Linked DNA regions of Mus musculus. Each later gene encodes a partner of the first gene's protein in a complex. Links are inferred from orthologs where the notes say so. Each region holds a gene or a part of one and is shown on either strand. Other genes may lie near its edges. The genes, in order: Nhp2 and Nop10.

Region 1 (4,505 bases):
AAAGTCTCTGACACCCTTCACACATGTTCAAATATTCACCTCTGTTATATAAGTCTCTGACACCCTTTACACGTGTTCAAATATTCTTAGCATACAGACGATCCCCATCTTACAGGAAGGAAGCCTGCCAGCCATGTGCTATGTACTTTAGTCCTAGCTGAGATGCCATCTCAAAAAGAAAAACAAGCCACCCAGACCTAAGAATTCCAACACCTGAGATAATTCCTCAAACAGCCTCCCTAGGGCCAAGATGGGAATGGGGCAGGGTGGGCATGCGCTTCTCACCGTCTTAGAGGGGATGTAGACGTAGGGCAAGTTCTGGTCCTCGCACAGAACTGGAAGATGGCAGTACACCTCAATCGGCAATGTATCTCCTGCCAAAACCATGATCCTGCAACAAGAGAAGGCACCATCAGTTCTCCTTTGCTCCGTCTCTTTCCCTTTCAGTTCTAAGAGCTATCTCCAGCCTGGCTGTGAGGGCAGAGTCCAAGAAAATGCCCCACCCCAACCAAGGACCCCCACACTAGCCTTCAACTTCTGAAAGGAGTACAAAGTCATGTTTGGCAAATGCATTCCTCTGGGGACATGGTCTCTACTTGACAGCATGTAAATGCCACCGAATGTGACTAGAGGTGAAGTGCTGGGACAGATGAGGTACAGGAGAAATACCACGAAATAGGAACTCGGCTCTCCTTAGAGTCAGTTATGTTCCAACCAGGAGATGACCCTTGAACAGAGACTTGAGTGCCATGATGATTCCAGAATGGCAGGTGTGGGGACAGAATAAGGCCAAGGGTGGTACTGAAGGGCTGGTTGCCTTCTGCAATAGATAACTAGTGTGTGTGTGTGTGGTGGGGGGGGGGTGTCAGAGAACAAAGCTGAGAGGACTGGCAGGGATCACACCTAAGTGTTTGAGTAACACACAGACTCTGTCCCAAGAGAAAGCTTGCCAGGGCCCTCAACCATGGCTGAGAGCTGTCAGTGTACCAGACCCAGAAGTCCTGAAGATCTGCCCGGTGTAAGGGTGGTAGACATCTGTTTGCATACTCCGTTCCCTTTGGCACAAGGCTGGTCCTTTCCACTTGTTCCTTTGCTGTCCTTCTTTGTGGTCCCTTTCTCCTTGCCTTCCTGACCTATCATGGTGCCAGGGGCCACCTGAAGCTACCAGCCCCCATCTGCCCTACCAAAACATCTGCCTGTAGAATAGCTAAGCAGAGCATGTCCAAGGCATTTTCCATGTCAACTCAGGACGCCTCAGAGGGTAAAGACACTCACTGCCAAGCCTGGCCACCTGAGTTCAATCCCAGGGGCCTGAATGGCAGAAGAGAATCAGCTCTCCAAGTTGTCCGCTGGTGTTCACATGGGTACCAGATGCACATGTGTCCATACACATGCAAGTAGGCACCCACACGTAATAAAAGGTATCTAAAAACCACACTTCAGATGTTTTCACACAAACCTGGCTTTCCTCCACTGTCTGTCTGCAGTCACACACTACAGCCCAAACTAGCATGCAAAGTCATTATATGTCACCGTCTCTCAAATCCCTCAGCTGTAGCTCCTGCCCATCACCTGCCTTGGGCCATAACAGCTTACTAAGTCTGACTTGCCTCTCCTAATTCTTCCCTCGATGTCACGCCTCAGCTTGCACTCTGTTCTGAGAACACTAAACCTACCTTAGAAAGCCCACGAGGGGGAAAAAGAAAACAACAACAACAACAACAACAAACAAAACCGGGCATGGTGGGGCACGCCTTTAATTCCAACACTCCGGAGGCAGAGGCAGGCGGATTTCTGAGTTTGAGGCCAGCCTGGTCTACAAAATGAGTTCCAGGACAGACAGGGCTACACAGAGAAATCCTGTCTCAAAAAAAAAAAAAAAAGAAAGCCCAGGAGGGCTGGAGAGCCGGCATACGGGGATGCATAGCCATTTCTGGGGGTGCATGGCCATTTCTAACTCCAGTCCAAGGAGACCTTACACCTTGCCTTCTGGTTGCCAAGGGCACCAGTGATGCACCAACATATACACGCAGGCAAAACAGTCATACACTTAAAAGGAGTAACCACTTACATTGTGTAAGTGCCACTACACTGCCCTGTCCAAGAGCCTACTCTTCTCAGGATTCCACCCCCTCACCCCAAATAAACCTTCATTCATTCATTCTCTTCCTTTGTTGTTTTGAGACAGGGTCTCTATACATAGTCATGGCTGAAAACTTAAGAGATCTGCCTCTGATGGGATTAAAGGCCTATCACTGGCTTATCATTTTCTCCTTTTGGGAGTTTTGTTTGTTTTGAGACCTGTCCATAGACCACGACGGCCTTGAACTAGCTATACTTCGGAAGCTAGCCCGCATTCTCCCCTGCCCTACTTGGGAAAATGTCTCTCTACATATAGCACGTTGCCTAGAGCCTGAAAAAGTTGTGCCGTTCTACAGAGTGAATGATCAGGACTCTAGTTTACACGGGCTGGATTCCTATTCTCTTCCCTGTCATTTACTGGGAGTTCCATTTACTGGTAGTGAAGGGAGTTGACTGCTAGACTGGTTGGTCAACTTCACCTTTATTGAGTAGGTGGAATTTCTTCTTAACCAGTTAATAAGCCAAACTTAGTGCCGTAGTACTTGTGTACCGTGCACAAGGCCCTAGGTTCAATCCCCGGCACTGGAATATAAAAATAAAAACCACACAAAACTTAAAAACCAGAGGAAGCCGGGTTCTTACCCTTTCTCGCCCTTGTTGACAAATTTCTGAACCTCCTTCACCCCGCGACGAATCTGCTTCTGCTTCACAGCTACAAAGAGAGAGAAGCGTGAGCCGACACCTCGCTCACGAGGCTCGACCCCGGGCCGCCCAAGTCACCGGTCCCGGACCGCGATCGCCACGCGCCCGCCTCACCCTTCTTGATGCACTTGTAGAGCTTGCGCGTCAGGCGGCGGGAAGCCAGGGGCTGCGCGATGGGGTTCAGATTGACCAGCAGCTCTTTGTACGTGCGCTCCTCGCTGCAGCCCTCCGCCTGCGCCTCGGACTCTTCGGGAGCGGCCTTTACTTTGGTCATCTTAGCAACTACAACTCCGTCCCGGCATAGAGGAACCACGCGGCCGCCGCCTCCGACATCACTTCCGGGTTTTCAAGTGGCTCTACCCTGTGACCAATTGGGAAACTAAATATTCTACACCGACCAATCTCTAAGTAGATCTCTAGGGGCGGGATTTTGGATATGGGGGCGGAGTTAAAGGTCAATCTAAGCACGGGATTTGGATTTTCACCGCGGGAATCCCAGGGAGGCCGAATTTAGAACCGGGTTTCCAGAGGGAAAGGGGCGGGGCCTGGGGCCGAGAGGTGGGGCCCAAAGGGAAAGAGGCGGAGCCCAAAGGGAAAGAGGCGGGGCCCGGAGAGATTGAAGAGCGGGTGGAAGGAAAATACACAACGGGATTGTGTCCCCTGAGCTCCTTGTGACCTGCCTTGTGACCTGCTGCTGCTGGTTAGGTAAAGCCTGGCGCACCTGAAAGTTTTTTCATATTTTCTTTTCCCCCTCCTAGATCCTGTTGCACAAACTATAAACCGCACACCTTTGATCCCAGCAGTGGGGAGGCAGGGGCAGGTGGATCAGGTCAGCCTGGTCTACATAGTGACTTCCGCTGGGCAGTAAGGTCAGCCTGGTCTACATAGTGACTTCCGCTGGGCAGTAGTGGTGCATACCTTTACTCTCAGCATTTGGGAGGCAGAGGCAGGAGGAACTCTGAATTCAAGGCTAGCCTGTTCTACAGATCGAGTTTCAGGACAGCCAGGATTACACAGAAACAGTCTCCAAAAAAAAAAAAAAAAAAAACCGCAAAGAAAAAAGAAAAAAAAGAGGCCGGGCAGTGGTGGCGCATGCCTTTAATCCCAGCACTTGGGAGGCAAAGGCAGGTGGATTTATGAGTTCAAAGCCAGCCTGGTCTACAGAGTGAGTTCCAGGACAGCCAGGGCTATACAGAGAAACCCTGTCTTGAATAAAAACCAAAAAACAAAAACCAACCCCCCCCAAACAAACAAAAAAACACAAACAAACAAACAAAAAAACCCACTCCAGTTCCAGGGGATCTGAAATGTCTAATCTGCAAGGGCCTCAGGAGTGCATGTGCTGCACAGATGTGCTTTCAGGCAACACACTCACACACAGGAAATAAATCAATCAAAAGTTCTTAAATGTTAAAAGCAAATCTGAAAAACCAGAAAGGTAGGAAGGAAGGTGACATGTGCTGGATGAAGAGTCCAGCTAGCTAATGAGAACCCTGGAGCAACAGGAAACGGGGACCTCAGCTCTGTGACGTAGAGGGACTGAAGCTGGTAAGGGTGAATATGAAGGAGGATCCTGAGTGCCAGATGCCAAAAATCAGGCCCACATTTAGATCTGTGTTTTGTGAAGGACACAGAACTTACCTATCCCTGATTGACAACTATGAGACCTGTGAGATAGTTGAGTATGATTTCCAGCCACTAAAAGCCATCACTTGGACAGC
Region 2 (3,116 bases), on another chromosome or scaffold:
GTGTGTGTGTTAAAAGTCGACAACAATAACATCAAAACCTAGACAAAACGAACAAAAATCCAGGCTATGTAAAAAAAAAAAAACCCTACATCAGCAAACACTCTTCCCTTTCATTCCCTGTACCAAGACCTCCATGCCAGAAGATACCAATATTAACTGTTTGTTGTATATTCCCACCCCCGCAAAATCTCGAACACCCACGCCCCCCCACACCCCCCCCACACAAAAACACGAACACTCGCGAACACATCCACCCACCCACCACGCTTTTGTTTGTTTGTTTCTCGGTTTAAAAAAGGGTTTCACTGTTTAGAATACTGTCCAGGTAGGCCTTGGACCTAGGATGTTAGAAATCCTTCCGTTTCAGCCTCTGGACTTCTGGGGTTACAAGCACGGGTTAAGCTCCCGGGTTTTTTTAATGTATCTCATGAAAACGGCAGTCGAACTGTCTATAGTCACTACTTAAAAAAAAAAAAAAAAACTTTACGATTTTTCTGGCTACAAGTTTAGTATGCTACTATATTTTTGCCACTATAAGTAGTGCTGCAATGATCATTTTGCAATATCTTGGTTTTAGTTTTTAATTCTTTTTTTTTTTTTTTTTCTTTTTGAGACAGGGTTTCTCTGTATAGCCCTGGCTGTCCTGGAACTCACTCTGTAGACCAGGCTGGCCTCGAACTCAGAAATCCTCCTGCCTCCGCCTCCCGAGTGCTGGGATTAAAGGCGTGCGCCACCTTAAACTAGAATCTTATGAGACTTTTCAGTCTTTTAAAAACTGGAAATACCCCGAGAAGGCGTACCTTACTTGCTATTATCTGCTACTCACCATATAAGAAAGAGCTGAACTTGTGGTCAGGTCCCGAGTTTGAATCTTGGTTCGATCCCTAAAACAAAATCCACCGGTTCACAAGAAAACCTTTCCGTTCTGTTCGCTTTGCATAATATCGAATACCCATCATGCACTCTTTGCCGCCAATACTCTGAAATTGGGCGGGAAACCGGATGTAAAAAGTAGGGTTCAAAAAAAAAAATCTTAACTTCTTCCCTAGGATATAGGAGGTTGAGAATCCTTGAGTCCTTGTTTCTCCAGGAATTCGAAAAGTGGTGCCTCTGAAATGGGTGTGCAATTTGAAATTAAAGATAGGACTGATATCAACAGTGAATGATGCATCAACATTCAACCCACATCCATCCCTACTTCCTAATCCCTGGCAAGTGGCTGGCACACAGTGGGCAGTTCCATGGATCTTAATAACTTTGCAAGGTTGCTGCTAGCTGGAACCCAAGGCCAAGCAAGACTTGCTCTACTATGCCCCCTTCTGGTCACATGGATATGACTGGAGAAATGGACTACATTTCCCAGGATGCCTTGGAGAGACTTCCGTCCAATCTGGAAGGTTGTTGGCGCACGCGATTGAAGCGGCGCACTCGGAGTAAACGCGGCTGGCGGTAGTACGTGTGTCTTTTTGCTGAGGGCAGTTATGTTTCTCCAATATTACCTCAACGAGCAGGGCGATCGCGTTTATACGCTGAAGGTAAGGGGAGGAGGAAACAGCTATATATCAAAAGGACGAGAAATTTAGATGGGAGGAACAGTTGGAACCGGCCTGCGCAGCCCACTGAGTGGAGCCATGTCGGAGCCAAAACGTGGTAGATAGGCAGTGGCTTCTTTTTCTGACCACGCGATCTCCTGGCCTCAGGTCACCCATTTTCTTGTTTCTTTCTATCACACCACTCATATTGAGATATTTTTTATTTTTCCTTGAGCAGAAATTTGACCCTATGGGACAACAGACTTGCTCCGCCCATCCTGCTCGGTTCTCCCCAGATGACAAATATTCAAGACACCGAATCACCATCAAGAAACGCTTCAAGGTGCTCATGACCCAGCAACCGCGTCCTGTCCTCTGAGGGCTCGTTAATCTTTTACGCTGCTCATGCCTCGGCCTATTATCAGCAACCAAACGCGTCAATCTGTAAGCCTTGAAGCCTTCCCATGCTGTTTGGAATCCTATCTCACTCACCACGTGAATGAGTCTATACTGATGGGCCTCGCCTGTAAAAGGAACAATATTTTTCTTTCTTTTTTTCATGCCAGGTTATTAAAGATATAGTGAACTGAAAGTTCATTTTGTGTGTTGTTGGAGGAAGAGATGGGGGAAGGGTAGTACCGTTGGTAGTACAAGGCCACTTGAGAACATTCGTAAGCCCTCATTGTAGCAATAGAACTGTGTGCCATCGACGATAGGGTGTTGGGGGGAAAAAGGCTGTGAAAGACTCCTACAAAGGTCAGCATTCCCTGGAAAACTACTGTCTAATTGTGGGCCCTTTAAAAAATATTCTGAATTCCTCAAAGAGTAAAAAAAAATGTATGTGTGTTTTAGTATTTTACCGACATGTGTCTATGCCTATATGTGCCAGTAACCATCAAGACCAGAAGAGGGAGTCAGATCCCTGGTGACTAGAGACTGATAGCTAGTCTTTCTGTGACTGCAGGGGATAGACACAGGTCCTCTGGGAAGCACCCCTCTCTCCAGTCCTACCACTACATTTTGAGTTCTGAGATAACAAGTATGCCCAACCCTGGAAGTTTTCTTTTTCTCTCTTTAGACAGAGTCTCTATGTAGAGCTGGCTGCCCTGGACCTCAGGTCTAACTGCCTCTGCCTTTGAACACTATCTTAAAGGTGTGCGCCAGCCTGTGGATGTTTCTTTACCAAGCCAGTGAAATCTGTCTGGTAGGAGATATGTCTTCTTGGTTTTTTTCAGTATTGGATACAATTAATTCTGTCCTTCGATTGCAAAAATAAAACATTAGCATTGTTAGCATTACTTCTATGCCACGAGCTGTGCATACCAAAATAAAGACTTCAACCTGGAGGTAGTACTAGTCACCATGGAGAAAAGGAAACGTGTGACTCTAGCAATGACTTAGACAATCCCCTGGATACACATGGCTTTAGGGAGCTTGATTATGTGTTTGGGGGCAAGAGGAAGAGCTGTCAGAGTGAGCTAGGTAGTGCATATAAATACATGCAAAAAGACTGGCATGTGTCAGAGAGCAGAAATTGCGCAAAATGTCATTGTAAAGTCTGTGAAGTTTGAATGGCCATCAAGG

What was found.
Region 2: Nhp2 (region 1) and Nop10 share a complex: the UniProt entries of both Homo sapiens proteins name them as parts of the H/ACA small nucleolar ribonucleoprotein (H/ACA snoRNP) complex. The link is inferred for Mus musculus from reciprocal best matches to the Homo sapiens genes NHP2 and NOP10.

Annotation. Positions count from the first base shown.
Region 1 is NC_000077.6:51,618,371-51,622,875, reverse strand, and holds the start of Nhp2 (H/ACA ribonucleoprotein complex subunit 2), read right to left. Parts: upstream 3,104-4,505; 5' UTR 3,059-3,103; coding exon 2,899-3,058; exon of another isoform or gene 2,795-2,898; coding exon 2,725-2,794; intron 392-2,724; coding exon 286-391; intron 1-285. UniProt on the Homo sapiens protein: Required for ribosome biogenesis and telomere maintenance. Part of the H/ACA small nucleolar ribonucleoprotein (H/ACA snoRNP) complex, which catalyzes pseudouridylation of rRNA.
Region 2 is NC_000068.7:112,260,543-112,263,658, forward strand, and holds Nop10 (H/ACA ribonucleoprotein complex subunit 3), read left to right. Parts: upstream 1-1,383; 5' UTR 1,384-1,481; coding exon 1,482-1,535; intron 1,536-1,770; coding exon 1,771-1,911; 3' UTR 1,912-2,356; downstream 2,357-3,116. UniProt on the Homo sapiens protein: Required for ribosome biogenesis and telomere maintenance. Part of the H/ACA small nucleolar ribonucleoprotein (H/ACA snoRNP) complex, which catalyzes pseudouridylation of rRNA.